Stegostoma tigrinum: one gene and its partner. The main gene of each other region encodes a partner of the protein of the gene in region 2 in a complex. Links are inferred from orthologs where the notes say so. Each region holds a gene or a part of one and is shown on either strand. Other genes may lie near its edges. The genes, in order: usp25 and tnksa.

Region 1 (16,457 bases), on a different chromosome or scaffold from region 2:
GTACAGGGAGGACAGCAAGAGCCAGCCTGATGTGGGGTGCATGTCTGGGAACCAGTCCCTCTCTTGCCCACTAGCCCATCAGCAAGTGCCACTGGGCAATAATGAAATTCTTCATGACTGCCCTGTTTAATGAACTATCAATAGGCCGCTGTGTACACATATGATAACCGACTAAGTCAAGAAGGGGATTCTATGTCAATTTTGCCTTTAAAATAATGTTATTGACCTAAACAGTGTGCATTCAGTATGCCCTCCGAAATAAAAGAATTGCTGAGAAAGGTACAGTCATCAGACCTCTTCATCTTGCACTCAACTGGACATTTCACAAGGACACCAATTCAAGGAGAAAGTCAATGCTTACAGTTCATGTGAAGATGGCAAGTAGACTCTAGTAGCCAGAGGTGTTGCCATGGGGAATACACCTATTAAAGCTGATTGACAGTTAACTGCCAGGGTTTTTTTTTATAAATGATAAACCAGACAAGTTGACTCTAATTAGTCAAGGCATTGTCCTGAGAAATTAACTGGTGAACTGTTGTCACCTATGTTGAATTGAATCAGGCAGAGGCTGTACACATTCTTCCTGGCTGCAAAGAAGAAGGGTCTCTGCATCACACTGTAAGCCCACTGACAAACCTACGTTGCTTCTCAGCATAATTCTTCTCTTACACAGGATTATCCAGCAATGCCAGATTTCAAATCATTCAAGCTCTGTACTGCCAAACAACTATTTCCAAATAAATGTTACACACTTAGATGAATATAGCTTAAATGGACCTCAATAATTAATCAACTACAATTGCAAAGTTTCATTATTAAACTAATACAAGAAAAATGAAGATTGGAGGCAGATATTCGGGGGCAAATCAACATATGGTATATGGCAGGCTTTTAAGTGTAAGTTGCTGGGAACTCGGGGCTGGCATGTTCCTTTAAGGATGAGGGATATTGTGTAGCAGGTTTAGGGAGCCTTGGGTGACAAGGGGTATAATCAGAAAGAGAAAGGAATCATTTCTGAAGGCCAGGAGGCTGGGAACACACTAAGCAAGGGTGGAATCCAAGGAACATCAGAATAAACTTAAGCAAGGAGTCAGGAGGGCTAAAAAGGGTCATGAACAGTCATTGGCCAACAGGATTAAGGAAATCCCAAGGCTTTTTTTTAACATAAAGAGTAAGAGGGTAGCCAGGCAGAGGGGTGGTCAACTCAAGGACAAGGAAGGGAACTTATGTGTGGAGCCATAGGAAATGGGCAAGGTATTAAATGAGTACTTTGCATCAGCATTCACTATAGAGAAGGACTCGGTGGATGATGAGTCTGAAGAAGGGTGTGTAGATGGCTTGAGTAATGTTGAGATCAAAAGGGCAGAAGGTATTGCAGGTCTTGAAAAACATTAAGGCAGACAACTCCCCAGGGCCTGTTGGGATATACCCCAGGATACTCAGACAGGCAACAGAGGAAATTGCTGGGGCCTTGAGAGAAATCCTTGTATTCTCACTGGCTACAGGGGAGGTCCCAGAGGACTAGAGAATAGCCAATATTGTTCCTTTGTTTAAGAAGGATGGCAAGGATAATCCAGCTAATTAGAGGCCGGTGAGCCTTACGTCAGTGGCAGGGAAATTATTGGAGAAGATTCTTCACAACAGGTTTTACTCCCACCTGGAAATCAGTGGGCGTATTCAGGAGAGGTAACACAGTTTTGTAAAGGGGAGGTCGTGTCTCACTAACTTGAGTTTTTTAAGGAAGTGACAAAGATTATTGATGAGGATAGGGAAGTGGATATTGTCGACATGGGCTTCATAAGGCCTTTGACAAGGTCCCTCGTGGCAAGCTAATACAGAAGTTAAAGTTGCATGGGGTCAGAGGTGAGCTTGCAAGATGGATTAAAAAAAACTAGCTCGTTCAGAGAAGACAGAGGGTAGAAGTGGAAGGGTGCGTTTCTGAATGGAGGGGTGTGACTATCGGCGTTCCACAGGGATCAGTGTTAGGACATTTGCTGTTTGCAATATATATAAATGATTTGGAGGAGAATGTAGCAGGTCTGATTAGTAAGTTTGCCAATGACACAAAGATTGGTGGAATTGCGAATAGCAATGAGGACCGTCAAAGGATACAGCTAGATGTAGATCAGTTGGTGACTTGGGCAGAGAGATGGCAGGTGGAGTTAAATCCAGAAAAATGTAAGGTAATGCATTTTGGAAGGTCTAATCCAGATGGAAAATATACAGTAAATGTCAGAACCCTTCAGAGTACCCTTAATAGGTGGATCATTGAGTTTAAAAATTGGCAGGTAATGGTGCAGCTTTATAGAACTGCAGTTGGGGCGCATTTGGAATACTGTGTTCAATTCTGGCCGCCACACGCCACACTACCAGAAGGATGTGGGGGCTTTGGAGAGGGCACAGAAAAGATTTACCAGGATGTTGCCTGGTATGGAGGGTATTAGTTACGATGAGAGGTTGGAGAAACTTGGGTTGTTCTCACTGGAACGACGGAGGTTGAAGGGCGCCCTGATCGAGGTCTGCAAGACTATGAAGGATGTGGACAGACTGGATGGTCAGAAGCTTTTTCCCAGGGTGGAAGAATCAGTTACCAGAGGCCATGGGTTTAAGGTGCAAGGGGCAAGGTTTAAAGGTGATGTACAAGGCAAGTTTTTTTTATATACAGAGGGTGATGGGTGCCTGGAATTTGCTGCCGGGAGAGGCAGTAGAAGCAGAAACTATGGTGACTTTTCAAGGGCTTCTTGACAACTGTATAAATGGGATGTAAATAGAGGAATACGATGCCCAGAAGGGTAAGGAGTTTTAGTTGTGATGGGCAGCATGTCAGTGCAGACTTGGAAGGCTACAGGGCCTGTTCCTGTACTGCAATTTTCTTTGTTCTTTGTACACAAATTATACATAATTGGGTTGACTTAGTCATGTCACCACTTAGTGGCAATTGGCAGGAGAATCAACAGATGTTTAGATGTTTCCTCAACTAAGGAGACATGCCAAACTACCTCACCTTCCACCCTCCAAATCCTATTTACTCAACTCTGAAACAGCCAGCATTCCGCAAAGACAATCTGAACTTCTTCGTGAAGTACAACAGCACTGACATTAAAAACTGGGATGAGGCTGCAACCAACTGCTCAAAATAGCAACTTCTCCTTCAAGCTGCATTATGTTTTGAGTTCAAATGCCTCAATGATGAGATAGAAAAAGAAAGAAACAGCAAATCCTGCACTGAGTCCCAATATTTTGCCAACCCTACATGCCTAAACATTTGCAAGTTGCCAATCCGCTTGTTCAGTCATACAAAGGCCCATCACTGAAACTATGCTCGATATTGGACACTGTCCTCAAACTGTACAATAGACACAGACAAGTAACTCAGTCTAGCACGGGTAACTGGTAGCATGTAAGGATTACGATTTCAGAACTCCAATTCCACTAATCTCTATACTGCATTTTGGATGAGATATTAGAATTATTCTCCGTTTACACTCTCAGATGGAGGTAAAAAAGAGAATCCCATGAAAAGATTTTGAAGAAGAGCACAGCAGTTGTCTATGTTGCCTTGGTCAATACTCATCCCACAAGCAACATCACAAACTGAGTACCTGGTTAGCATTACGTTGCGGCTTCTGGCAGCTTGTTGTGCACAGGCTGGCTGCTGTATTCCCTACATGGCAACAGTGACAACATTTCTAAAGTTTGTCAGTGACTGTAAAGTGCTTTGTGGCATCCAGTAGTCAACGGAAATGCAAAAATGACAGTCAACTCTTTCACAGTGCGCCCACCCCGCCTCTGGAATAAACCGATTTTTAAACATTGTCAATGTGATGTTACTTATTGTATAACATGCTGCAACTCTATTTCAATCCCTGGTGGTGTTCAAGCTCAGTGTCTTGTTCATTGATCAAATTTCAAACTCCAAGAAAAGGTTACTGACAGCCAACTCATGCAGCAATTCTGACCTAAACCCCTACCCAATATCTACCATCACTGTCGTTCCTTTAACTCTAAACCAATTTATTGAAAGACTTGTCAATAATTTTCTGAGCTTTTTCCAAAATAAATTACAACTTTGCTAGAACTGTTATCACATATGTCCTTATCTGACAATGAGGCCAGCTCAGGCTTTGATGATCTCTAGTCTCCCACATCTCATAAAAGCAGGTACAGGTCGAACAATGCCTCAAGCTTGCTATGCCAATCATCTCATAAAAGCAGGTACAGGTCAAACAACGCCTCAAGCTTGCTATGCCAATCAATTAGATCAATGGTGATCTGTGCCTTCACCCCATTTAGCTGCCTTTGACCCCCATTCTCTGATTGTCTCACCTGACAAAGTAAAAATCAATTCATCTCAACTGTGAAAGGGGCAGTTGATCACCAGTCTTAAGCAAGCTTTTGAAGGAGTATTCCAGATCTCTATAATGCTGTGTAAATAATCAGTTTTTGATTTCACACCAACAGCACCAAATTCAATATCCCTGGGTTTAAATCACAGCCTGCCCTCATTCCACACTACATCTGTAAACTCCTTTATCTCAGTCAATGCTATACAGTCTTTCACCTCTGGCTCTCTTCATATATGCACAATTTACACCAAACAGCACTGAAGAAAGGTCTCGACCTGAAATGTCAGCTTTCCCGCTCCTCTGACGCTGCTTGGCGTGCTGTGTTCATCCAACGCTAGACCTTGTTATCTCAGATTCTCCAGTATCAGCAGTTCCTACTGTCTCTTAAGTCATCTCAATTCTACTTTTGGAATAACATCCCTAGGCTACTCTCTATTGCTCAGTCCTTCACCAGCTTTGAAAGCTGGATTTTGGATGACACTCCACTCTACTGATCGATCTTGTCACAAAATGGCTTCAACTACTTCAATATTTTACTCTGCAGGTCTGTTGGGTTTTAAAATATTGACATTAGCAAGAAAAATTTTGGTTGAACGAACAGCAAAAGCAGCACAAAACGGGCCAATAAAATTGTACGGAAGACAATACAAAAGTTTCAATAAACTAAGATCTCTGAAAGCTCTGTATAGAAACAAGCTATTAATCCTAAAATAAAAATTCATGAATCCTATCACTATGCAAGCAGATGGGCTCTCTAAACATGAATTGAAAGGAAATGAGAAAATAAACATTTGCAATACCTTGTCTGATAAGAAATCATAAGCAACAGACAAGAGCATCTTAAAATATGCATCTGTCGACCTTTAAATCTAGGCCAACATCATAACTTAAAGAGAAAATATGTCAACAGTATATCATAGTACAATATATGTAAGATATACAAAAGCATACACAATATTTACATTATAATCATTCATCAAAACTCAATAGGTAAATAACTCAATAATGTATTAAGCATCAAAAAAACAACTTCAAAACTTCAGTTTATATCGCATCTTTCCTGATCTTCGATTATCTCAAAGCACTTTACAGACAAACAGGAACTTTTGCAACATAATCACTACTGTAATCTGGGAAAAGTGGCAGTCATTTTGTGCAAAGCAATGCCCCAAAACCACAATCTGATCACGAACATAGTATTATAATTTCAGTGATCAATATCTTGGCTATGCCAGAGGTTAAGTTCCCCATTCTTCTTTCATATAGTGAGGTCAGCTTATTCTACTTCCACCTGAAAAGAGTGATGTGGCAATGCCGCTGTTGGACTGGAATGGACAAAGTCTGTGTAGATTTGTGCGTATGTGAGTGTGTTGCGGGGAATTCAGTGTGTGTGTGTGTGTGTGTGTGTGTGTGTGTGTGTAAGTGAAGGGTGGGGGGGGGGGGGGAGACTGAGAAAATGAGCGTGTGAGAAACAACAGATGAATGAACACCACCCAACAATCACCAGACAAGAATGTTCCCTCCAAGTGGGGGAAGACTTCGACACGCAAGGACGCTTGACCTCGGATCTTCAAGTGGACTTTGGGATACACAACAATGAAGAGACACTGAGCAGAGGCTAATAGCCATGTCTGGTACCCAAGAGGATGGCCTCAACCAGAATCTTGGGTTCACATCTCACTACAAGTGACGCCCCCCCCCCCCCCCCCCCCGCCACAATACACACTCTTGTATACATATACATGCACACAACTCTCTCTCTCAAACTAAGATAACAAAGTGTGGAGCTGGGTGAACACAGCAGGCCAAGCAGATCTTAGGAGCAAAAAAGCTGATGTTTCAGGCCTAGACCCTTCATCACAAAAGGGTCTTTTCTGATGAAGGGTCTAGGCCCGAAACGTCAGCTTTTGTGCTCCTAAGATGCTGCTTGGCCTGCTGTGTTCATCCAGCTCCACACTTTGTTATCTCGGATTCTCCAGCATCTGCAGTTCCCATTATCTCTGATCACTCTCTCAAACTGTCTTTCTCTCACTCAAATCAATCGGGTCAATACGTATTGACAGCTACATTTTAGTTTGTTCAAAAAACACACAACTTATCAACAATTTTTTTTAATATAAATGTCTACTTTGGAAATAAAACCAGTCTGATTCCAAACTAAAACACAAACAGATTCTAAGCAAAGTCACACACCTAACTTGCATTGTCTAACCTAAAATGTCAACTCTTCCTTACTCTGGTAAAACCTTCAGTTCTCTCAGGACTGTGGCTTGAAAGGAATTCGTGGATTTACATATCCATATTAATTAAAACCTTAAAACTGATTAAAGATTTAGCAGCATCTTAAATTTGTTTAGGATATTCTCATCAATGGTGTGGAATGTTGATCTTTTACATATAAATTGTCTGATACTACCTCTCATTAACAACTAAATGACTGAGGCTCAGAAAGCTTGTGTTTTCAAATAAACCTGTTGAACTATAACCTGGTGTCGTATGATTTATGACCTGAAAACAGCAGAAGGTATGGCTCTTCGACATATCATTTTGAGAGAAAGTACCTCAGACAGTGCACCGCATACACACAACATGGTTCAGAACAAAAAGAGTGAAAATGCATCACGCAGTTCAGAAAATTTCATTCCACTGCCAGAACGAAATTGTTACAACTTGCAAACACAACGTGATTAATATGCCAAGGTGCTCCACAGGAGCACTGTTAGACAAGATTTGACACTGAGGAAGGGGGCAACCAAAAAGCTTACGGTTTTAAGGAGTGCCTTAAAAGAAGAGTGCGGAAAGGATCAGGTGGGAAAAATGCAGCTTAGAGGCTGAGGACACAGACAAATAAATGGCTGATTTTGTTAGTGAGGCTTTACAATTGTCCTCTACTATGGGCTGTGCCTCAAAGGAGGGAAAATTCAGGTGAAACCCTAACACTACGTCCAAAGTGAACTGAACTTGCCGCCCTCACCGCCAGGCAAAAATAAACAAGTTACAAATTTCATTCTCAGCCTGATTTAAAACTCAAAACCTTGCTGGCCTAGGCGCAATATCTCGGAAGAGCCTCTCGACCTGGGGCTGGTGCCAGCTCCATTAACACCCTGGGCGTTACAGTAGCATTATTATTGTTGCTGTTGCTAGGCTAGGCCAGAAGCCTGCGGCTCGCGTGCCAGCGCAGCGGGGGCAACAAGCTCCTCAGGCGGTGACCGAACGGCAGCGGTCTGGGGAACGGGGGGTGGTGAATGCAGGCGCGGGCGGGCGGACCCTCCCGAGTAAAGGAACATTCAGGGGCATCGTAGGTCCATGTGGACAAGAAGGCCGCGGACAGGCGGGAGGGGAAAAGGCAAGGTGGGAAGGAACCTCTCCTTTCCTGTTTGTTTACCTTCTGTGAATGCTGCTGCAGGACATTTTGTTCCACCGTCATGGCCGATCCACAAACAGAGAGAAGCTGCAGAGGGGGAGGGGCACAGGGTGGAGACTGGGCGGGGCTGCGATACTGGGCGGGGCAGGATGAGGGGTGGGACTAGAATAGGGGGCGGAGCTGGATGTGGAGCGTGTCTGGGTGAGGGGTGGGACTAGAATAGGGGGCGGAGCTGGATGTGGAGCGTGTCAGGGAGAGGGGTGGGACTAGAATAGGGGGCGGAGCTGGATGTGGAGCGTGTCAGGGTGAGGGGAGGGACTAGAATAGGGGGCGGAGCTGGATGTGGAGCGTGTCAGGGAGAGGGGTGGGACTAGAATAGGGGGCGGAGCTGGATGGGGATCGGTTCAGGGCGAGGGGTGGGAATGGCATACGGGTGGAGCTGGGCTAGTAGGGGAGCGGAACAGGTGGGGCTGGTAGAGGACAGGGAGCCTTGCTGGGAGATGGGCGGGGTTGAAGGTAGGGTGGGGCTAGGAATGGGGTGGCTAGTATGGCGAGGGGATGGGCCGTGGAAAGGAGGCAAGAGCAGATAAAGGGTCTGGAAACAGGGGTGAATGTGTGGGGTCTGATTGGTGTAGGGGTGGGGCTGGATGCTGCAGGAATGGGGCTGAATGGCGAAGAGGTGGGGCTGAGTGGTTTATGGTTGGGCTGTGGTGTAGGGGTGGGGCTGAGTGGTGAAGGAATGTTGCTGAGTAGGGTAGGGGTGAGGCTGAACTTGGGAAGTGGTTGTGGCATGGAGCGAAGGAGATGGGGCAAGATGAGTGGGCTTGGCAGGTAGATGGGTAGGTCTGAAGAGTGTAGGGGAGGGACTGGATTTGGAGAGGGGTTTGGAGAAAGGGCAGGGACATGCTGGGTAGGCATGGGGCTTGACAGGGAGAGAGGGTGTGGCTTGGTGAGGACTATGGGATGTGTGGTGGAGGGGTAGGTCTGGATGTGTGGCCAGGGTGCGGATAAGTGGGTGGGAATGGGGAGGGATGGATGCGGATGTGGGAAGGTGTTGTGCAGGGAATAAGAATGTGGTCGGGGTCAATTTGGGTGGGTGGTGTGAGGGGAGGGGCTGTTTGTGGAGTGGGGATGTAGGTAGGGGAGAGATGGGGGCAATGAAAAGGTGTGGTATGTGCAAGGTCTGAAGGGGCGGAGCAACGGTTGTGGAGGTTGTGGGGCGGGTGGATAAGATGGTGGGTCTGAGTGGGGGAGGGATTGCTACTGGGGTACAGTGACAGGGCTACGTCAAGAAAAGGGGCTGAAGGAGAAGAAGATGGAACGGCTGAGGGCAGAATGAGGGTGAGGGGCTGGTGTTGAGAGGGGAATGTTAGAAGGTTGGGTTTGGAGTTAGGGGAGGCATTGGATGTGGAGACAGGGTGTTGGGGCTGAAGTTGAAGGCAGGCGTTGGGATTGGAAGAGGAAACAGGGAGAGAGGGTTGGAGGTGTACATGTGGAGAGGCAGAGAGTGTAGACAGTGTGAGAGGGTGGAGTAGAGATGGTAGGGGCAAGGTGGGGGCCAAGATGGGGGGTGCTGAGGGTAGAGAGCATGGGTGAGGTGGGTTGGAGAGTGGAGGAGGGGTAGTGGAAGAGAGAGGTGGGAAAGGCTGGGGGAGGAGAGATGGTGGGAGAGGCTGGTGGTGGAGAAAGTGGGTGAGGTTGAGAGAGGGGATGGGGAGGTGGAAGTGCGAGGTGTTTAAAGGCTATTAGGAGAGTGGCTGTGTTTTTAGGGAATGCTGAGGGGCACAACCCGGGGAGGCGTAGCTTCTGGGGAAGAAATGGGTTGGGTAATGGGGATTAGCTGGGGAGAATGGGAGGGTCATTTGAGTGAGGGAGGAGCTGGGGTTGGGTATTATTTGGGGATGGGAATAACGAGAGTTCCCCTTCAAGCCACTCATCATCCTGGTATGGAAATGAATCACTAGGTCAAAATCCTAGAACTCCCTCCTTAATAACACTGTGGATCTACACTTACTTTAAATAATGCTTTACTGTATAGATTAGTTCCTGACTCTCATTTACATTTTATAAGTACATGACAACAACTGAAGGAGGTCCAGTGTAACCTCACCCCAACGAGAACAAAACAAAGATAATGGGAACTGCAGATGCTGGAGAATCCGGGATAACAAAGTGTGGAGCTGGATGAACACAGCAGGCCAAGCAGCATCTTCAGAGCAGGAAAGCTGATGTTTCGGGCCTAGACCCTTCATCAGAAAGGTCTAGGCCCGAAACGTCAGCTTTCCTGCTCCTCTGATGCTGCTTGGCCTGCTGTGTTCATCCAGCTCCACACCTTGTTATCAAGAACGAAACAAACATTGTTATGACCACACCTTTGCCTTTTCCCAGTCCATCACTGACTCCTCCCATCCCTTTCTTGATAGCTCTGTTTCTATTTCTAGGAATAAGCTGGCCACCAATATCCATTAAAAATCTACTGACTCCCAAGGTTAATTTGACCAAATATCATCACACCCTACTTCCTGTGAGTACTCTATTCCATTCTCCCAGTTTCTGCATCTTCATTGCATTTGTTCTGATTATGTTACCATTTGCAAGTGACCCTCAGAAATGTTCACTTTTTTCCACCACCAAGAATATCCTGGCACAATGGTTGACAGGGCCGTTGGCCATGTCTGTTCCATTTCTGCATTAGGTAACCCCTCAGTCCCCTCCTGCAACAACAATCCTCATTTTCCACTCCACCAGCCTCTGTATCCAAAGAATCCATCATTTACTCCACTTCCAACAGAATGGCACCAGCAGACACACATTCCCCTTCCATGTCAGCATTCTACGGGGACTGTTTTCTCCGGCACACCCAGGTCCACACCCTCATGGTGCCTTCTCAGGCCTTTGCAGAAGGTGTAACACCTGCCTATGTATTCCCTCTTCACTAACCAAGGACCCAGACACACCTTCCAGGTGAAGCAGCTATTTACCTGTACTTCGTCCAATCTAATGTACTGTATTCGCTGTTCACTATGTGAACATTGGTGAGACAAAAAGTAGCCTGGGGTGACTGCTTTGTCAAACACCTATGCTCAGCTGATAAAATTGACTCCAGCTTCCAGCTTTCTGTCACTTCATCATATCACCATGTTCCCATGGCAATTTTCTGTCTTAGGCCTGCTGCAGTGCTCCTGCAAAGCTCAAGACAAGCTGGAAGAACAACACATCTTTCGCCTCGGTACCTGGTAGCTTTCAGGACTGAACATTGAGTTTAACAATTCAGAATGTGGTCATCACACTCCATGTTGGCTACCCTCCCCTTTTACCCCCGCGTTATCTGCATTTCTGTCTACATAGCCAACACATTTTCAACTGTCCATACGTTACATTATCACTCTACTTAGCATTTATCTCCCTCCTGGCTTATCATTGGATATTTCTATGCTCAACTCTTTGTTTGCCTGTCCCTTTCTCTCACTCTCTCCCTTTCTGTCTCTGTCTGTATCTATCTCTCTCTCTCTCTATCTTTGCCTCTCCCACTCCATGTCTGTGGTCTGTCTCTGTGTAGTGTAGTCACTTCTCTGCACTCCATCATTAGCAGAAATTTACTGTGTTTCTCCAGGACTCTGTTTTTGTTTTAGATTTCCAGCATCCGCAGTTTTATGCATTTATATTATTATTTATGACCAGGGAAGGATGAGTGTATGGCTGCAAAATAAATTTTAAATTCTTTTTAGCACACATTTATTTCAATTAAAATGTAATACTAGTCAAAAGTAAGGAGTCAATCAACGGGTTTCCTTCGGTGAAAGAAAGGAGGATTTTATTAATTACTGACCCTTAAAAAAATAAAAATGAGACATCAAGCACACATGCAAACACAGATATAACATTTCAAAAGAGACAGTATCTAGTAAGAAGAAGGGAATTCAAGTGTATACAGTTTGAAACGTCTATAAGGAGTTAGGTTTAATGTGCGACCCCGGTTATTAAGTTGATGATTCTTATTTCAGCAGCAGTGAAATTTCTGAATATCTTTCTGTTCTTGGTGAATATATATTTCTCCAATTTGCTTCTAACACTGGGCATTGTATTTTAAGGGACACTGAGTGAAACAGGGAGAAAGGCAAGCAAGCCTTCCAGTTCTGCTATTATACACTTGAGTTTAGAAGGATGAGAGGGGATCTGATTGAGGCGTACAAGATTATTAAGGGATTGGACACTCTGGAGGCAGGAAGCATGTTTCCACCGATGGGTGAGTCCAGAACCAGAGGACACAGTTTAAAAATAAGAGATAGGCCATTCAGAACAGAGTTAAGGAGAAACTTCTTCACCCAGAGAGTGGTGGATATATGGAATGCTCTGCCCCAGAAGGCAGTGGAGGCCAACTCTCTGGATAGTTTCAAGAAAGAGATGGCTAGAGCTCTTAAAGATAGTGGAATCAAGGGTTATGGGGTAAGGCAGGAACAGGATACTGATTGTGGATGATCAGCCATGATCATAATGAATGGTGGTGCTGGCTCGAAGGGCCGAATGGCCTACTCCAGCACCTATTGTCATTGTCTATTATGAATCCATTTACCCTCTCTCAATCAATGCTCAAAGGTATTTGTCTTAAGTATTATTCCTTTATGTATTCCTGTGTCTGCTTTCATTGGTGTTTGCAAGCTGAATACTCCATAATTGATGTTCATCCTAACGTTGAAACTTACAGAATGGGATAAATCAAACAGGAGATACAGATCTGAGCGACTAATCTTATTAATTTCAGTTCAGAATGGGTCTTGTTGATTGGTGATTTCATGATGTGGCTCATCTAGAGGTCTTACAATTACTGTGGCCATCATGTTAGTTTTTTTTATCAATTTAAAAGATATATTTTAAATTGTCTCAACAAAACATCCAAGATATTAAAACTCAGACGATAAAAATCATAAGTTGGTAGACCACTTTTTCCGCTATCAGAACAATGTGGGATCAAATAAAGTCAACTGCCTTCACTACTCTTGTGACTAACAAATGCAGGTCACAAAGGAACAAGGTGTAGAGCTGGATGAACACAGCAGATCAAGCAGCATCAGAGGAGCAGGAAAGCTGACATTTCGGGTCTGGACCCTTCTTCAGAAATGGGGGAGGGGAAGGGAATTCTGAAATAAATAGGGAGAGAGAGGGAGGTGGATAGAAAATGGATAGAGGAGAAGATAGGTGAAAAGGAGACAGACAGGTCAAAGATGCGGGGGTGGAGCCAGTAAAGGTGTGTGTAGGTGGGGAGGTAGGGTGAGGATAGGTCAGTCCAGGGAGGAAAGACAGGTCAAGGAGGCGGGGTTAGAGCCAGTGAAGGTGTATGTAGGTGGGGAGTTAGGGAGAGGATAGGTTAGTCCAGGGAGGAATGAGGTCAAGGAGGCAGGATGAGGTTAGTGGGTAGGAGATCGGGGTGGGGCTTGAGGTGGGAGGAATGGGGAGGGTATCAATGTGGAAACCCTGCAGCCCAATGTTATCAATCTGATTTCACAAGCGTCAAAATCTCCCCTCCGCACCACATCCCAAAACCAGACAAGCTCGTCCCCACCTCCCTAACGTGTCCTCCCACTTATCCACTCCTCCCACTCAAGCTCCACCCCATTAACTACTAGCCTCATTCTGCCTCCTTGACCTGTCTGTCTTCCCTGGACTGACCTATCCCCTCCCTAACTCCCCACCTATATTCACGTTTACTGGCTCCACCCTCGCCTCTTTGACCTCTTCTCCACCTATCTTCTCCTTTATCCATCTTCTAACCGCCTGCCCCCCCTCCCTATTTATTTCAGAATCCTCTTTCCCGCCCCCATTTCTGATGAAGGGTCCAGACCCGAAACATCAGCTTTCCTGCTCCTCTGATGCTGCTCGGCCTGCTGTGTTCATCCAGCTCTACACCTTGTTATCTCAGATTCTCCAGCATCGGCAGTTCCTACTATCTCAGGTCACAAAGTTGAAGTCTTAAAACAGGAAGCAATGAAATAATGGCAACTTTGTTTTCTTCTGTTTTTTTTTATTCAAGCTTGCTGAATCTGCAACAGTGAGATGTCTTCAGTTAATATTGCATATATAGTTAGCTTTTTGCTTCTCCACATTTCCATGTCACTTCAGTTTGATCTTCACAAGGACCATCTTTTTGAGTCTTGGAGCATTGCTGAATGGATGATCCCAATTTATTAGCCAACTGGAAGGGATTCAGGTGGCAATACTAGAGAGACAGAGAAGGAGGGAATGAGTTTGTTAGAGACTGTGTAAAAAGAAAAACGCTGGTAATAATGAATTCTGCTCTGAGAAAGACATCAATTGCTCGTGGATAAAAGACCCTTATACGTTTGTCATCAATCAGCCAGATTGAGAACTTCCAGGTCAATGTTTTAACTGCAACTTTGAGATTCTTCTTCTCTGTTCGAACAATATGTCTCACTTCCAGTCCCTGGATGTAAATCCTCAAATTTTCTCATCAGGGTTTCCATACCCTCACTGCATGATGCTGCGGATGATTCACTTACAGGGACAATACTGTGTTATATACAAATAAGTCTTAACAACTGGAGGAAGTCATTTAATTGAGGAAGCTAAAATAGTGAAGGGTTTCATAAGCTCATGTGAGCCAATGATCTAATTAGAACTAACTCTTTGAAATGAATACATTCTTATAACCTCCACAGAGACACAATATTTAAAAAGAAATTCAAACTTTCAGAAAGAATGAAATTTCAATATTTGACATAGAACATAGAACATTACAGCACAGTACAAGCCCTTCGGCCCTCGATGTTGTGCCGACCTGTCATACCAATCTCAAGCCCATCTAACCTACACTATTCCATGTACGTCCATATGCTTGTCCAATGACGACTTAAATGTACTTAAAGTTGGCGAATCTACTACCGTTGCGGGCAAAGCGTTCCATTCCCTTACTACTCTCTTAGTCAAGAAACTACCTCTGACATCTGTCCTATATCTTTCATCCCTCAATTTAAAGCTATGCCCCCTCGTGCTCGCCGTCACCATCCTAGGAAAAAGGCTCTCCCTATCCACCCTATCTAACCCTCTGATTATTTTATATGTTTCAATTAAGTCACCTCTCAACCTTCTTCTCTCTAATGAAAACAGCCTCAAGTCCCTCAGCCTTTCCTCATAAGACCTTCCCTCCATACCAGGCAACATCCTAGTAAATCTATCTCCTCTGCACCCTTTCCAAAGCTTCCACATCCTTCTTATAATGCGGTGACCAGAACTGTACACAATACTCCAAGTGCGGCCGCACCAGAGTTCTGTACAGCTTCACCATAACGTCTTGGTTCCGGAACTCGATCCCTCTATTAATAAAAGCTAAAACACTGTATGCCTTCTTAACAGCCCTGTCAACCTGGATGGCAACTTTCAAGGATCAAGGATTGCAGTACATCTTTTAAAATTTGCTGGCTAAGCAGCATTTATTGCCCATCCCTAATTTCCTAGAGGACAGTTAAGTGTCAACCACATTGCTGTGGGTCTGGAGTCATATGTAGGCCAGACCAGGTAAGATCATGGCTGATTTGCTTGTCTTCCAAATTCCACATTCTCATCTAACCCCAATAACTTTGACTCGCTTGCCTAGCAAGAATCTATCCATCACTGGTTTCAAAATATTTAATGGCTCCATCCTCATCACCTGTGAGCCAGAGGGTTCCACAGTCATAATTCCTCCAACAGAAAAAAAAATCCCTCATCTCTTAATTTTCAAATAATGCCAACTAATTCTGGGCTCACTCAAAACAGAAGGTATCCTTTCCATGTCTACCTTGTAAAGATTGATTAGGATCTTGTAAGGTTCAATCAAATCACCCTTCACTCTTCTGAACTTCAACTCTTCTAAACCAGGAAACAAGCCCAGCCTGCCCACTCTTTCCATCATAAGAGGTCATTACAGGCATCATAGTGTCATAAAGTCATACAGCACATCAAACCAGTCAATGCTGACCATAATCCCAAAGTAAACTACTCCCACCTGCCTGTAATTGGCCCATATCCCTCTAAACCTTTCCTATTCATCGACTTATTCAAATGTCTTTCAAACAATGAAATTGGCATCCACCACCTCCTCTGGAAGTTTATTCCGCACATGAACCACTCTCTGTGTAAGAACATTGCCCCTCATATCTTTTTTAAATCTAACTCCTCTCAACTTACAGATATGCCGCCTAGTCTTGAAATCAATTATTTGAGGCATTAGATGCCTCCCATTTACCTCAGCCATACCCCTAATGTTTTATTTTTTACAAACCTATATATGGTCTCCCCTCAAACTCCTACACTCCAGTGAAAAAAAATCCAGCCTATCCAGCCTCCTGTTAAAACTCGAACCTTCCAGGTAACATCCTGGTAAATCTTTTCTGAACTCTCTCCAATTTAATAATATCCATCCTTTTGCAGGGTAACCAAGAACTGGACACAGTACTCCAGAAGGGGCCTCACTTTCATACTGTACAACCTCAACATGACTTCCCAACTGCTAAACTCAAAGGTCTGAGCAATGAAGGCAAGCACGCTAAATGCTTTCTTAACCACCCTGTCCAAATGTGATGCAAACTTCAAAGAATTATGTATCTGACCTCTTATGTCTTTCTGTTTAACAGCACTATCTCAAGCCTTACTGTTAATTGTGTAAGTCCTGCCCTTGTTTGTTTTCCCAAAATGCAATACTTCATATTTATCCAAATTAACCTCCATCTGCTACTCCTCAGGGCAATGATCCA
Region 2 (17,407 bases):
GACCCCAAAGCATTGGTGGCGTCTGCGTTGGCAAGATACAGCAAGGACATTGGTGGAGGCATGATAGCGCTGAAGAATAGCAACTTTTGTTCCAGCAACAGTGGTGCAACAAAGGGGACTTGTGTCTGGCCCCCAGGCCCATGATGGGGCATTGAACAAGGAGGACTAAGTTGAACACTTTCATTATTTCTTCACATTTCTGCCTTTACATTCTCGGTTTTGGTTGGCTTTTCTGTGTTTTAAGATGGCGCCAGAGACCGGCAACACAATACAATACTTTTCACTGTATTTTGTAACAAGACACATGACAATAAATAAATCAAACAAAATTGTATTGTCGCATGAAGATTTTGACAAAATATACGCAAAAATAAATGAACATTCTGCTATAACTCTATATTTTAAAGAGGATAAGCTCAAACAATATAATTAAATCCAAAGAAACTGAAAGAGGAAAATCAACATCCAGCTTTATTTAAAATGCTGCTGCATACTGACAATGCCAATTTCAATCACGTGACAAAGGCCCTGAAAGCTCAACGAGTTAGTGTGCTGCAGAGTATGGTACTGTTTATACCAGGCAGACCCTAGAGTTCCTACCTGTACTCATATTTAAATAAACAAACAATCTCAACAGCAGCTTTAAAACATTTTGTATCCATGGGCTAAGGGAAGGGAAAGGAAACTATGAGACCTAGGGCAAACAGCTGCTGTAAATGTATCTCCTCAGTACTAAAAACATTTTAAAACTTAATCATGGGACATAAGCTAAATATAAATAACGGCACATTATGGACAAAATAAACTGTGGGTATAGTCATAAAATTCAGTATATAAAGCCAGGAGGCCCAGGTTCAAGCCCCATCTGCTTTAGGCACAAGTTGTTACATGTCTCAAAAGGTGACTGTAAATACCTATGGAACCTTGCTGAGGAGTCACCAGAGGTAAAAGGCTCTTGTGGCAAAGAGACACACTCTACACCAGAGACTCGGGTTTACGTCCCATCTGCTCCACAAGTTTGCAAATTTTAAATTGGTTAATTAGAAATATCTATAAAGGCAATCCAAATTGTTGCTGAATTACAGTTTCTCAGCATGCCAGACATTTCAAACTGCTAAGTTAGTAACAACATCTCACTATATTTTGAAATGTGATGAATAATAGAATAATTCGAGTAGATAATACATTGATCCAAAAAGGCATTCAGTGTAATCTACGGACAATGAGGGGGTACGGGACACACTGAGAAAATAACAGATTTAAATCATGAACAATTTGGTTCAATGGTGAATGGCCAAAGAACACACAGTTCTTGCTACGCTTATAAGCAGCCAACTTCACCCCAGCAGCTGCTGAACCTCAACATGTATTTGCGATGAACTAAAGAGGTTGCTTACAGCTGCTAGCAACACAAAACATACCTCACCTTATATTTTATACACAAAGACTTTAGTTGGCTCATTACGCTAGTTCAATTCCCTGAATTGTAACCAGATTACAGTACTAGCCAGCATCCGGATATCAAGCACATCAGGGAATGTCTGATGACACTCTCTGATAAGGGTGCTATCAATTTAGTTTAAAACAATCACTCAAAATTCAACCACATGAATGCGTACAATGTCTTTATATGAAATGACTGAAAGATCTTAACATTCATAACCAAACACCAGTGAAGGACAGAGCTAAACTGCAATGTCTGAAGACATCAACTCTTAGTTGTAGAACTTCGAAGCTGTCAAACAGTGCTAGATATGATTCAATAAGCATCAAGTGAAAATTAAAGTGCCAAAGCTGCATGTCTTAAAAGCTAACTGGCTGACAAATAGAAAATGAACACAATACTGCACTTTGTATCACAGGATGAAAACAAACTTGAAGCAGCTGCAAAACAAATGGAATTTTTTTTTGATAGCTGCAGGGGCTAGGTAAAATACTACTGCTCTCAAAGCATTTACAAACCAAAGCAGACTAATCAACCCAACAGCTCAATACCAGTGTTCAGGAGCAATAAAAACTTCCTCATACTCTACTTCATCTCATCCTGTCAGCATATCCTTCCGTACAATTCTCCCCCCATATACGTATTAAAATTCCCCTTAAAATATTTATACTAATCATCTCAACCACACTCAGTATCAAGTTCTGCATTCGAAGTATTCCCCTACAAAAAGTTCTCCTGCATCTGTTTTGGATCTGTTGATGACCAACTCACATTAAATCACCTTTAGTTGCGGGCAACCCAACAGTCAAAACGCCTTCTCTTCTTCCCCCTATTACTTCATTATTTTAAGATGTCTCTCTGGTCTCCTCCCAAACTTCTCTTATCTAGGGATATTAAAAAAGGAGCTCAACCATTCAGTTTTCCCCGACAGTTCCAATCTCTGGAGTTTTAGTAGCATTTTTGGAAATCTTTTGTCCTTTATGCCTTTTAGCAATAGGAACAACATAATTGAGAATACTACTCAAACATTTTATATGGGCTCCACATACAGAGAAAACCATATGCCAATTTCAAATACTGATCCAAAATTTGTACTGTTAAGTTTATAGCATGTTACAATTAGTTACCCTGACCCAAATTTCCAAATACTTTAAAATCTTTTTTAAAAAAATTATTCTTGGGCATAGGTGTTGTTGCAACACCAGCACTTATTGCCTGGCACTAACTGCCTGGAAAGGAGATGGTGACCCACCTCAGCAGCTTACTAGATTATTTAAGAAGATAATGAAATGTCAACATGCTGCTGTGGGTCTGGAGTCAAGTTTAGGCCAGACTGAGAAAGGACAACAGGAATTCTTCTCTGAAAAATATTGATGAAGCAGATGGGTTTCTACAACACAATCTGGTAATTTCATGGACACAATTACTGACGGCTATTCACTCCAGATTCACTTGATAAATTTGAGGTTTGTAGCTAGCGAAATTTGATCTGTCTCCAGATCATTAATCCTGACCGCTAGACTCCCAGTTATGTTACTGAACTATCATTAATGCAGAACCTCTTCAAAACTCTAATTCTACTTCAATCTATTTATCTATTCAAACATAAAATTAACGTTACCTATTTTTGCTACAATCAGACAGTAATGTGGAAGTATCACCATTCAAGCAGTTGACAACAGAATACTGCAAATCTAATGCATCGTGACATCAACTTTTGTGATTTAAATCTCATGTAGTGTAAAACCTAATGTCATTTGATCCATCAAGTTTCCCATCAAATAAAGGTAAAATACTGTGGAAAATGGAAATCTAAAACAAACAGGGAATGCCGGAGTAACACAGCTGGTTGAACAGCATCTGTGGAGAGAGTGGAAAAAAAAAGTTAACATTTCAACTCTGACTTGAAATGTTCACTTTTCTCTCCACAGATGTTGTCAGGCCTGTTGAGTTTCTGTAGCATTCTCTGTTTTTGTTTCAAATTTCCCATCAGCTGGGTACTGTTTTGATTACCCCCAATAACAATCCTTTGGAGAAGGCAGGGGGACACCCAATTGCAACTACCATAGATGCAAATGATAAAATTAAACTTGGCAATATAACTTAAAAATGGGATGAATTTTGGCAATAGCTTTGTCTGGTGAATGCTAGACAGTTTACCATCTTGACCCCACTGCTCTGTCTCAGCTATGGACAGCAGGCATTGGCATTTGAAAACTAGGGTATACAGTGAGGTACAGGGCCCATGGCAAAAGAAAACAAGTCTGAAACTAGATCTCTGCTAAAAAGATAAATTTTCTTTCTATCAAATGTTTCATTGGCCAATTCTGCCCCATTCCAATGGAACAACATGCAAAAACATCTGAACCGAACACTCAGTTCAGGATAAATTAAAAACTAGCTTTACTAATTCACAAACTTCATCCTTAAAATGGAGGATCATGATGATCATCATTCAATCAATATCTCTTAGTGCCTCAAACAGCTTATTAACAATTGTGAAAGAGGAATTTCCTAATTTTACAGATTACATTCCAAATAATCTATTCTAGTACTAAATTTTCAGCAATATTTGCCAATCATACATGAGCTGAATTCAAAACAGAAACTTTTGACCAAATAGTCAATTGCTAAGAAGTAATTTGAAGGAGAAACTTTGATAGAGCAAAGAAATGGGACTAATTAGATATTCTTTCAAAGGGCTGGGATCCCTCTGTGCTACATCCTTCTATATTCTATGAACAGGCAGTTTGAAAAGTCTAAAGCAAACCATTGAACATTCTAGCATCATGTTTTTCTTGATGGAAAAAAAGAAACTAAGTCCATACAATGTCTCCAAAGTGTGAATGGCTCTTTTCACAGTAAAATGAGGTCACGAGTATTTGTCTATATGTGATGTGTTTGAGAACAGCTGTCAACAACATATTCTCCTCCTGGCTGAGGAAACATTCAGTCCCCAATCACCTCTTGCCTCACTATTTCCATTAAAAAAGTAAATACAAGTCCCTGAAGCCCCATGACAGCCTCTATTTTTCATTTAAATATCATTAGCCTTTAAAATACCATTTTGGAACTGCTGAAAATTGAGTCGTAAATTCTCCCAGCAACATGAAGGCCTTGCTGACTTTGAAATATACAGGATATCAGCACAATCTCATTTCCTATCCCGTAGCAAACCATGTAATTCACATCAGTCACAGGTCTTAACTGCTTCAATTGCATGGGGACAGAAGCCTTTTCAACACCTTGTACCTCTCCTTTCATTCTACAGCATAATGGTTGATCTACGTCTTAAGAAATCGTCAGTTGTTTACAAACATGTCCAAAGCTGTCCAAATTATTTTCACTCCAGTTGACCTAGTATTAATGTATTCCTTGCTAAATAAATATTTTATACAGCAGAATAAAAATGTGTTTTAAAAAACCTGAAGGCACTGAAAAATGAACACTCACCTCAAAGGTACAACTGTTTTATAGACTACATAAATGCTTCAGCCAGAGGCAATGATGCTGTATAATTGAGTTCACTTAGCCAAAAGTATCTATTTAATCAGTAAAGTAGTCGTCATACTTGGACTTAAGTTTCCTACCGAATGCAAGAATATTTCAAGTCAAAGATCCACTAATTCTAAACACACTTAAGAAGCCAAATTTCCTTCTCTGTGGCAAAAATGGAGGAAAATAAAACTCCAAATCAAGTGAAATCTTCAAGCTTACCTCAAAGTAACAAAATCCAAACAAAAAAGTTTACTTAAATTCACTTCTCATAAATATTTCAGCTAGCTGATGCCAAGAGAATAACGTCCCATTCAACCAAATGTTAATCTGATTCAATTTAAAATGATAAGGTATCAATACAATTAAATATAAATGATGGCTCTGGTCTCCATATTATTAGAAATATTCACTGACAGCTTGCTGGGTTAAAATGTTGCAATATCTCACCAGAACACTGATAAAAAGGAAGATCTGCAATAAACAGAAAGATAAAGTACAACAACTGAAGTTACTGTTAATTCCTGATGAGGCAAATTTAAGTTAAAAATGGGAATTGGCTTGGACTTATTTACAATAATTAACATCACAGAATCAAGTCACAGTATCAACTTTATTCATTTCTGATTTGGTATTTTAGAAAGGTCACCTTTGCAAGGCATATTTTAAGTTGCGAAGATTCACTGCATTCAAAAACTCTATCAGAATCAACAAAACTAAAGGGACTCAGAGGAGTCAGAGATAATGGGAACTGCAGATGCTGGAGAGTCCTAGATAACGAAGTGTGCAGCTGGATGAACACAGCAGGCCAAGCAGCATCTGAGGAGCACAAAAGCTGACGTTTCGAAAGGGTCTAGGCCCGAAACGTCAGCTTTTGTGCTCCTCAGATGCTGCTTGGCCTGCTGTGTTCATCCAGCTCCACACTTTGTGCTCAGAGGAGTACTTTGACTATTTTAGTTATAACCCACACTGCTGTATCGGCTTTTCAGAGAGGGACCTTACATTTATCACTTATAACGTTAGTCAAGAACAAAAAGTACTACATTACAAGAACATACAATCAATATGGTGTCTTCTACATTGTGAATAAATACTATTACGACACAGAGACAGAAAGCTAAATCAAACCAGCTTTTCCACATCTGTATTCACAACATAGTGAAATTAAAACCTTCAAAAACTCTCAAAGTAGACCCCAACGATTCCTGGCCAGACTTTTTGAATAACCAATCCTAAACTGTGAATAATCAATTCTTGACACCGGGTTTACAAACTTAAACAAAAGATAACAATTTATTAACACAGCAAGTAATCTCATTCATGTTGATGATTGAAACCCAAAAACCTTTGTTGCAGCCTCCTTTCATACAAAGAGATACACAGACAGAGTTAAGGCATGAATAAAAATAACAAAACTGGCCAGATTACTTATGGGGTTTTCACAATGTCTGTTCTGCAGGCATAAACAAAGGTTTCTCGGTTGACATTCCTAAGACATCAATGTCATCTTTTCAGTTCATGCTAAAGGAAGGCATTACTTATTTACATTTTCTGAACTTCCAAGAATTGATAAGAGGAGGTTAGGCAAGGAGCTTTCCAACTTTCATGCTGTAACATCAACAAACTCCTCCTCTCATAAACCAGTCCAAAAACCAGTTCAAACTCTGGCCCTCCCTCTGTTTGCCAATCATGTTCCCTTGCAGACTTGCTGGTAAGAATTCCCAGGTATTGACATTGTCAATGGCCAAACATCTGCTGTCTGGTTAGACAGACAGCTTTCCCCAGTGTCAAATAGTCTATAGAATCCTTTTGATCAAGAATCAACCTGTAATTAACTTTCATACTTGACGTCACAAACAAACAATGGCTTATTTTTGTTTCTAACAGCTTCAGTTCACAGTTCTCAGCAATAAACCAAAATTAATAAAAGAATAACACAAAAATAAATTTTAAAAATCAGTGAGTTCTAACAATACTTCTGGATTCCTTTCACTCCCCAAACCGGGGGGAAAAAAAAAGCAAAACCACAAAATACTTATCCAGTCTATGCATCCTCTTAAACCAGGACACGCGATCTATGTATTCGCCAGTCACACCAAGGAAATTCTTAGCAACCATTTGGTCCATTGTAGGTGGGCAGCATGGTACCACTGTAGTTCGCACTGCTGCCTCATGGCATCAGGGACCAAGGTACAACTGAGTGACTGTGTGGAGTTTGCACGTTCTCCCTGTATCTGTGTATGTTTCCAAAGGGGAATTCAGTTTCCTCCACACAACCCAAAGATGCACAGGTTAGGTGGATTGGCCATACTAAATTGCCCCGCAGTGTTCAGGCTATGTGGATTACCCATGGTAAACATAGGATAGAATGGGTCAGTGCAGACCTGACAGCTGAATTGCCTCTACTTGCACTGTACAGATGCTATGATTCATTGTGTATCACAAAGCCCTTTTATTAATTTGGACATGGGACGTGGGCATCACTGGCTGGACCAGCATTCATCACTGCAGAGCCATCAATTAGGAATCACATACAGCTCGACCAGGTAAGGATGATAGATTCCTTCCCTAAAGGACACGAAAAAACAAGGTGGCTTTTTACAAGTCAACAATGGTTATATGGTTGTCATTAGGCCAGCTTCAATTAATTCCAGATTTTTTACTGAATTAAAATTCACCTGCCGTGGTTGGATTTGATCCTATGTCCTCACTATTAGTCTCTTCTGGTTCACTAATCCAGTGACATTACCACTACACTGCTGCCTCTCCTTAATGTTATGGCCTCCAAACCTTTTACCAATTAGATATGCACTTTTAAGCTAATGGGGAGCAGTTCAGAAGACAGGAAAAGACCTATTTTATCGAGACTAAACCTTCCTTTCTTGGGAATATCCTCTCCAAGCTCCTCAGATCCGAGCCATCCCGACGGTGGAGGAGGTTAGTGGGCGAGTTGGTTGGCCTTGTCACTACCACCATTTTCAAATGCTCCAAAATTGACAAGGTACTTTTACTTGAGAACAGACTTGTGTGCAACAAAATTTCGACACAGCCGCCGCTGCTGTTACAAATGACCCAATAATGAAACTAATGTTTACATCGTCAACGCGAAATGAAGATTTATCCTCCCCGTACCATTCCCGTTAACACGTTCTCCAGCTCCCGATCTCTGTGAAGTCCATTTAAATAATATGAATTACTGCCACACGATAATTGACAAAGATCGTATGGGGCTATCACTCTTTTAATGCAGTATCCGCAGTTTGAAGAGGGCCCATGTTCGGACTCTGATTTTAAGCCATCCTTGTTCCTACCCTTGTTCAAACCCATGGCAACATCTTCATCCCTCACCCCGCCCCGATCCCAAAGTTGTTGCGTTGTTTTGACGGCGACGAGTCCAGGCCTCTTGAGGTTCTTGATCTCAGCCCCGGACTCCCATCCGCACACTAGGAGATCATTGACCGCCCCACCTCCTATAGGCCCCGCTCTAAAAGCCTGATCGACGTACAAACCTGCGGCGAAGTGCAGCGGCGTGGATTTCCTGCCGGCCATGTCCTTGGCGTTCACATTGCCCGAATCCACCAGTCGCTTCACCCGCAAAACATCGCCGTTCCTGCAGGCCTCGAACAGTTCTCGGCCCGAGTCATTCACCGCCCCCCCTCCACCTCCTGTTGTTGTAGTTGTTGGTGGTGGTGGCGGCGGCGGCACCGCTGCCCCGGAAGGCGGGGAGGTGGCGTTGCCGCCGGTGAATCCTGGCGAATCAGGCCTGTCGGAGGCCGGTGTCGGGGTTGGGGTGGAGCTCGGGCCGGGGTCCGAGGCGCTGGGAGAGAGCTGGCTCCGCCGCGCCGCCATCTTCGACCGTCACTGCAGCAACGCCGGCTTACGTCACTGAGGCACTGAGCGCGCACGCCGACACCAAGCGGCGGCGCCCGTCGGGAGGTGGGGGTGGAGTGGAGTGAAGCGCACGCGCATCGTGCACGTACCCAGCACCGGCCCTACGGACGGGCATGTTTCGGGGATGGGGGGGGGATCGGGGGGTGGTGGTGAGGCTGACGCGGGGTGACACCTCCTCACGCCAATGGACAGCTTTTCGCTACCTGATTGGTCATTCTTCAGGGCCTTTTGATTGGCCCGAACTCTGATTGGCCGATTTGGGAACTCCTTGCATGCGCTCACCTGTGCTCGTGGGCGGGTCAAAAGCTGGAGCCTGTCATAGTGACGCGTTGCTGAAGAGTTGTCGGGTTGAGAAGCTGGCCTAGAAACAGCCTCTGAGTCGAAAATAGAAATTGGTGGATAAACCTGAATTTCAGTTGTATCAGTGGCAGGAGTCTGGGAGAAAGCACAAGGGCATCCTGGGAAGGTAAGCTTCCACCCAATGAATCTGGGAGTTAACTAATACCCAAGATACTACACGTGTAACCTAACCTAATAATAATGATTAAGTGTGGTGAGCAGGTAAGCTATTTGCATTTTTTTTTCCTCATCTCTTTGTTATCTTTTGGGTTGGTCACCTAGACACCAAATCCTCTGGGAGCAGGTTGGAAGGCAAAGCCGGAGTCTGTTTGAGTATATAACGGAGAAAACTGGTGCAGAGAACACTGCAAAATTACAAAAAATCTAATTAATTTTAAATAATTAACTAAGTAGAGGTGGCAGGCCAGGTGATGTGTTGTAGCTGTATGATGTGGGAGCTAGCTGATCTGATTGAGAACGGCAGTGACCACATCTGCAGTAAGTGTTGGCTGCTTGAGGAGATCTGGCTCAAAATTGATGAGCTGAAATCCAAATTCCAAACGCCGTGACACATCCGGAAGGGGGAGAAATACCTGCATGCTGTGTTCCAGGAGGCAGTCACACCTGGTAGATTAACTAATGTTAATTTGATCAGCGGGCAGGGACAGCAGTGTGTGACTGAGTGAGGCAGGTAGAGGGACTGTGCAGACAGGAACACAGGAGCCTTGACATTGTCCCACAGGTGTGAGGCACTTGCCCCCTGTGTGGATGAGGAACAGGGCTGCAGGAACTGACCATGGCCCAGGAGGCCATTCAAGAGGGAGGAGCAAAAAGACAGTTTGTAGTTGTGGGGGATTCCATCATCAGGGGGATGGACAGTATCCTTTGTGAGCAGGATAGACAATCCCACATGGTGTGTTGCTTGCCCGGTGCCAGGGTGCGAAGAATTCCTGACTGGCTTGAGAGGATACTAGAGAGGGAGGGGGAGGATCCAGTTGTTGTGGTCCATGTAGAGACCAACGACATAGGCAGGAATGGGGAAAAGATTTGTTTCGGGATTATGAAAAGCTAGGAACAAAAGTTTAAAAAAACAGGTCTTCAAGGGTCATAATCTCTGGATTGCTACCCGAGCCACGTGCAAATTGCCTTAGGGAGGCGAGGATCGGGGAAGTAAACATGTGACTAAAAGAGTGGTGTGAGAAAGAAGGTTTCTTTTTCATGGAGCACTAGCATCAGTTCTGGGGCGGGAGGGATCTATACCACTGGGATGGACTCCACTTGAACAGGGCCGGGTCCAGAGTTCCAGCGAAAATAGTAAATAGGGTGGTTAATAGGACTTTGGACTAGTAAGTAGTGGGGACGGGAGAAGTGAGCATAGAGGGAGAATAAGAATTAATGTAAGGCAAAGCAACAGGTTAGCAGGTGACAAAGAAGCTTCAACTCCATTGAAAATTAGGAAAAAAATTAAAGGGAAGGAGAACTCGAGAGCTGTTAGTAATGAAGGTGATAGGACCCAAAAAGAAGGTGCAAAAACTTACATAAGGAAATTTTATTTGAATGCTCGGAGCATTCGAAATAAGTTGGATGAGTTGACAGCACAAATCATGGCAAATGGGTATGATTTAGTGGCCATTATAGAGATATGGATACAGGATGGTCATAACTGGGAGTTAAATATCCAGGGGTATCAAACTGTTCAGAAGGACTGACAGGAAGGTAAGGGAGGTGGTGTTGCTCTGATTTGTTAAGGATGATATTAGGGCGGTAGTTAGAGATGATTATAGGTTCTACTGAACAAAACGTTTGGGTGGAAAGTAGGAATAGTAGGGAGAAGAAGTCATTGATAGGTGTGGTCTATAGGTCACCAAATAATGACATTGTGGTGGGGCGGACCATAAACATAGAAATAGCTAATGCATGTAAAAATGGTACAGCAATTATCATTGGGGATTTTAATCTACATATCGATTGATCAAACCAGGTCGTTCATGGCACCCTTGAGGAGGTGTTTGTAGAATGCATCCGCGATAATTTCCTTGAACAATATGTAATGGAACCTACGAGGGAGGAAGCTATCCTAGATCTAATCCTGTGTAATGAGACAGGAATAATTAATGATCTGACAGTTCGGGACCCCCTCGGAAGGAGCGATCACAGTATGGTTGAATTGAAAATACAGATGGAACATGAGAACGTTAAATCCAGTACCTATGTCCTGTGCTTAAACAAAGGAAACTATGAAGGAATGAGGGAGGAGTTAGCTAAGGTAGAATGGGAGCAAAAACTTTATGGTGGATCAATTGAGGAACATTGGAGGACTTGCAGTGTTCAGCAGAAGTATATTCTAGTGATAAAGAAGAACTGCAGGAAAAGAGAGAGCCAGCCATGGATGTCTAAGGAAACAAAGCATCAGATTGAAAAAAAAACACATACGACAAAGCAAAGAGTAGTGGGAAATTAGTAGACTGGAAAATCTTTAAAGGCCAACAGAAAGCCACAAAAAAAAGTTATAAAGAAAAGTAATATAGATTACGAGAATACAATAGCTCAGAATATGAAACCAGGCTGCAAAAGTTTCTTAAATATGTAAATTGTAAAAGACTGGTGAAGGTAAACATTGGTCCTTTGGAGGATGAGAAGGCCAATTTCATAACGGGGTATGAGGAAATAGCTGAGACATTAAACAGTTATTTCATGTCGGTCTTCATAGTGGAAGATACAAATAACATTCCGAAAACTAATGGCAAGATGGTTATAGCAGGTGAGGACCTAGAAATTATCATTATCACTAAGGAGGCAGTGCTGGGCAAGCTAATGGAACTAAAGGTAGACAAGTCTCCTGGCCCTGATGAAATGCATCCCAGGGTACTAAAAGAGATGATGGGGGAAATAGCAAATGCACTAGTAATTAGTTACAAAATTCACTGGACTCAGGGGTAGTTCCCGCAGATTGGAAAATAGCCAATGTGACACCACTGTTTAAAAAAGAAAGCAGACAAAAACAGATAACTATAGGCCAGTTAGCTTAACTTCAGTAGTGGGGAAATTGCTTGAATCTATCATTAAGGAAGAAATAGCAAGACATCTGAATATAAATTGTCCCATTGGGAACACCCAGCATGAGTTCATGAAGGGTAGGTCATGTTTAATTGATTTGGTGGAATTCTTTGAGGACATTAATTGCAATGGGGAACCTGTGGATGTGGTGTATTTGGATTTCCAGAAGGCATTTCACAAGGTGCCACACCAAAGGCTGCAAAATAAGATAAAGTTGCACATTATTACAGGTAATAGCATGGATAATAAAGCATGGATAGAGGATTGGTTGACCAGTAGAAAACAGAGTAGGGGTAAATGGGTGTTTTTCTGGTTGGCGGCCAGTGGCTAGTTGTGTGCCTCTGGGATCAGTGTTGGGACCGCAATTGTTTACAATTTACATAGATGATTTGGAGTTTAGACTAGGTGTGGTGTGTCAAAATTTGCAGATGACACTAAGGAGAGTGGTAGATCAAAGTGTGCAGAAAACGCTGAAAGTCTGCAGAGGGATTTAGATAGTCTAAATGATTGGGCAAAGGTCTGGCAGATGGAGTACAATGTTGTTAAGTGTGAGGTCATCCATTTTGGTAGGAATAACAGCAAAATATATTATGTTTTAAATGGTAAAAAATTATAGCACGCTGCTGTACAAAGGGACTTGGGTGTCCTTGTGCATGAATCGCTAAAAGTAGGATTGCAGGTGCAGCAGGTAATTAAAAAGGCAAATGGAATTTTGTCTGCCATTGCTAGAGGGATGGAGTTTAAAAACAGGGAGGCTATGCTGCAGCTGTATAGGGTCCTGGTGAGGCCACACCTGGAGTACTGTGTGCAGTTTTGGTCTCCTTACTTAAGAAGAGATATAGTAGCACTGGAGGGGGTGCAGAGGAGATTCACTCAGTTGATTCCAGAGTTGAGAGGGTAGGATTATGAGGAGAGACTGAGTAGACTGGGATTATATTCATTGGAATTCAGAAGAATGAGGGGAGATCTTATAGAGACATATAAGATTTTGAAGGGAATAGATAAGGTGGAGGCAGGGAGGTTGTTACCACTAGCAGGTGAAACTAGCACTAGAGGGCATCACCTCAAAATAAAGGGAAGCAGATATAGGCCTGAGGGCAGGAGGAACTTCTTCACCCAAAGAGTTGTGAATCTGTGGAATTCCCTGCCCAGTGAAGCGGTTGAAGCTACCTCGTTGAATGTCTTTAAGGTAAGGCTAGATAAATTTTTGAACAGTAAAGGAATTAAGGGTTATTATGGTGAGTGGGTGAGTAAGTGGAGCTGAGTCTCAAAAAGATCAGCCATGGTCTCATTAAATGGCGGGGTAAGCTCAAGGGGCCATGTGGCCTACTCCTGCTCCTAATTCTTATGTAAGCTCAGCAGGCCTGGCAGCATCTGTGGAGAGAAATCAGCATCTGCAGTTTTTGTCAGTTCTAACAGCCTCTGAGTATTTAACTTGCAATTTGACACAGGCTTGAGATCAGGGAAAGTAAAACTCAGACCTCCAGAAAGTCTGCAAGGGAAGTAAACTGGTCTCTATCTGAGAGTCAAAATAAAAAGTCCACACTGCAAGACCCTGGTAGCAACTTACAACTCAAGTAAAATCGTACATCCATTGACCTCCTGCCAAAATGAGGATCTTCTATCATTCTGGAGTTGATCGTAACATGATACAATTGCCAAAAAACAAACTATAAAGGCATCTCATTCCCACCCGTGGAACTGACTGTTGAACCACAGAACACTTTTTTTGTCAATACTTTCCACCAATCATATTTCTGCAGAGCCATGTGTCCCATTTGTGAATTATTGTATGCAGGTTTGGGTTTAAAGGAGACATTGCTTAAGATTGCTTAGTAGCAGCTTTTAACGTGTGTTGCTAACTGTTAAGGAATAAATTTGGCTTTTAATTTTCTTTTGTTTGTTGATAAATCCGGTGGGAGTTTCTGACCTAGATATCAATCAAAGTCAGACAGATTAATCAGCTTGGTGATTCAGAGAGTTCTAGAGCCTTATTGCATTGACAGAGGTTGTTTGGCTCTTCGTGTTTGTGTCTGCCATCAAGCAACTATCTATTTTGCAGCATCGTGCCTGTCGCCTTGTACATTATGGTGTTTCAAGTGTTAATCTTGAATTTACAGCTAGTGCATCCCATATTCTTAACTGCTCACTGTGTGGAAAAGTTATCTCTCACATCACAAAAGCTTCAGTTACACAACACTCTCTAAATCTTTGCCTTCTTGTTCTGTTTCTTTTACAACTAACTTAAAATCTCATCTACAGCTATAATGTTTTAGCAAAGATCTGCAGCTTGGTCTAGGCCTGAACCATCAGCTTTCCCGCTCCCCTGATGCAGCTTGGCCTGCTGTGTTCATCCAGCTTTACACCTTGTGATCTCAGCTTGGGTTGTGGTTGGTGTTGTTGGTTTGTTCGCTGAGCTATCTGGTTTTCCCTGTGACATCTTCAGCACTGTATAGCTTCAGTTGAAGCTGTGTTACTCTGACCCACCCTGAATGTATATGGTCCGGTTTGGTTTGACTAGTCACCAGGGGAATAGAGAACAACAATCAACTCTAGACATAATGTTGGAATGAATAAACAATGGTGAATTCCTCACCAGTGTATATAGAAAAAGACAACATACACAGAACAAATCCTGAATTACAACAGTAACAGTGACCACAAACAGAGCTGTGTCAAGACTCTGTTTAAACGAGCGATTAACACACTGCAATACCCTGGAGCTGTGCAAAAACAAAGAGGAACATCTGTACAAAATCTTTACAAATAATGAGTATCCTAACAGCTTTATCCACCGATGCCTAGCAAGTAAACAACACCAACACACTGGTCACCCTACCTTATATTAGAAATATATCAGAACTGACTATGAGATTCCTACGCCCTGTTGGAATAATGATAGCACACAAACCAGCAGCCACACTTTGCCAGTTACACTCAAAGACGAAAGACCCTATACCCACAATGAGCAGGAGAAATGTGATATGCAAAATACCATGCAGCAACTGCGAGAAGCACCACATAGGCCAGATGGGCAGGAAACTTGCCACCAGGATACACGAACACCAACTCACAGCAAAACAGCATGGCCAACTCTCCTTCATTCTATTACATTCTAGTTTAACTGGACAAAGTAACAATGGACAAGCAAAACAAAGACGAATTCCTGGAGGCCTGGTTTTCAACCACCAGTGTGATAAACAAATATATTGAAATAGACCCCATCTACGTACCACTGCAGTGCAAAACCTTTATTTTGTCCATCAGTTTTCTTGCATGCCTCCTCTTTGTTCTGTACCTTATTCTTGAGATAACTTCCTGCGATTTCTACACTCTTTTAGGGCTTCTGCTATTTTGAGTCCCCAGTATCAGCCCTAACCTTACCTATTTTCCTAATCCATATATATTAGTCGACATCAGGGTTCTCTAGCCTTCTTGGTCCTACCCTTCACCCTTAGTAAAGTGCAGGTTATTTTCATATGTCCATTTCAAATGACTCACACTGCTCTTATGTACATTTCCTACAAGCATCTCCTCCCACTCTGTTTTGGCCATTGCTGTCTTATTAAAATTGGCCTTTCCCAATTCAGAACCTTTATTTTTGGTCCACGTTTATCATGTACCATAAATACCGTAAGTTTTACTGAGTTATGGTCAGGTCATCAAAATGCATCCCAATTGATACTTCTACCTCTTGCCAGCTTTGTTCCATAAAATTTGGTTCGACACCACCTGTGGGACTTACCACATCTTGACCCAAGATGTTCTCCTGGATACATTCTAAGAGTTCCACCTCTCTAAGCCTTTCACATTTCTATCCCAGTTAAGAGTAAAAAAGTTGAAATCCCCTACTATTATTACCTTAATAATTTTCACTTGAGATGTGTCCACAAATCTGCCTTTTTATCTCTTTCTAACTGTTTATTTGGGAACCTATACTACACTCCTAACTGGAGGACTTCCACTTTTTGTTTTTAACTTCTATCATGTGGCTTCAATTTGGGATTCTTCAAAGATATCGTCCCTCCATATTGCCAGAATTAACTCCTTGATCATTGCTGCAACACTACCTCTTTTACAACTCCCTGCTCCACCACTTGACTGGCCTGAAGTTTCCGTACCCTGGGTAGTAATTATATCCCCATTTAGTAAGCAGCATCCTCAACTCATCTGCCTTACACCTTGCATTCAGTTAAATGTTATCTAACCTTACCGTGCTCTTTGTGCCTTAACTAGATTATGAAGACTCCGTCTTCCAGACTGATTTGGTCTTCTCTATGTGTGGATCACTCTGTATTGTACCTCTATTCTGTATTCTATTGCCCTGGCAAACTAGTTTCAATCCCCACCAACAGCACCAGCATACCCCCCACTCCATCCTTGTAGGGATGTTGGTCTGGTGCAATCTGTCACCCTTGTCCAGGTGTCACCTTCTCTATGACATCAAATCAGAATGGATGTGAGTGAAGGACTGTCAGTCCTTTAAATGTCCTCAACATGAATTAGATAGCAGGCAAAAGAAGGGACTTAAAGTCAAAGTTGAAACAATTACAGTGGAAGTAAATTGGAGGCTAAATGGTGAACCAATGACCAGTTGTCTATGTTTGGACAAGGGTGAAACAAGTAAAAACCAGAAACGGAGGGTAAAGTAACGGAGGGGTGGCATGGTGGCTCAGTGGCTAGCACGGCTGCCTCACAACGCCAAAGATCCGGGTTCGATTCCAACCTTGGGGGACTGCCTTTGTGGAGTTAGGGACGTTTAGATTAGGTGAGTTAGACATGGGTAATTCAGGGATAGGGCAATGGGTCTGGGTGGGATGCTGTTTGGCGGGGTGATGTACACTTCTTGGGCTGAATGGCCTGTTTCCACACTGTAGGGATTCCATGGAAATGTTTTAAAGTAAGTGACTTTGTAAACCACTCCTGAATGAAGATCCAGGAGGTGTACAAAATCAGTTGGAAGGCAGAAATATGATCAAGTTGGAAATGATCATTAAATTCACAGAAGCAACCAGGGCTTGTACCTTAATACAGCTGAATGACCAGGAACAAACTATAGCTGAAGCCAAGAAACTAGTGCAACCGGTCTCCAGTCACAGGCACAGCAGGAACTGAAGTCTTTTGCTCACAGCAGCTTGGGGGAAGGGCTGAAAATTTGAGAACATTACTTCAAATTAAAAC

Evidence for each region.
Region 1: the proteins of tnksa (region 2) and usp25 are in contact, whole or in part, in a crystal structure (PDB 5GP7), measured with the Homo sapiens proteins. The link is inferred for Stegostoma tigrinum from reciprocal best matches to the Homo sapiens genes TNKS and USP25. Residues at the interface, in NP_003738.2 of Homo sapiens: Arg836, Ser838, His842, Leu843, Gly846, Tyr847, Leu871, Asn876, Ser879, Tyr880, His882, Asp900, Trp902, Phe904, Glu909, Gln912, Lys913, Gln934, Glu935; in NP_037528.3 of Homo sapiens: Ser1046, Ser1048, Arg1049, Thr1050, Pro1051, Ala1052, Asp1053, Gly1054, Arg1055.

Annotation. Positions count from the first base shown.
Region 1 is NC_081365.1:8,216,723-8,233,179, reverse strand, and holds the start of usp25 (ubiquitin carboxyl-terminal hydrolase 25), read right to left. Parts: upstream 7,827-16,457; 5' UTR 7,774-7,826; coding exon 7,732-7,773; intron 1-7,731. Other genes in the region: zgc:153372 (arsenite methyltransferase), read right to left, coding at 13,790-13,924. UniProt on the Homo sapiens protein: Deubiquitinating enzyme that hydrolyzes ubiquitin moieties conjugated to substrates and thus, functions in various biological processes including inflammation and immune response.
Region 2 is NC_081356.1:13,988,612-14,006,018, reverse strand, and holds the start of tnksa (poly [ADP-ribose] polymerase tankyrase-1), read right to left. Parts: upstream 8,842-17,407; 5' UTR 8,789-8,841; coding exon 8,449-8,788; intron 1-8,448.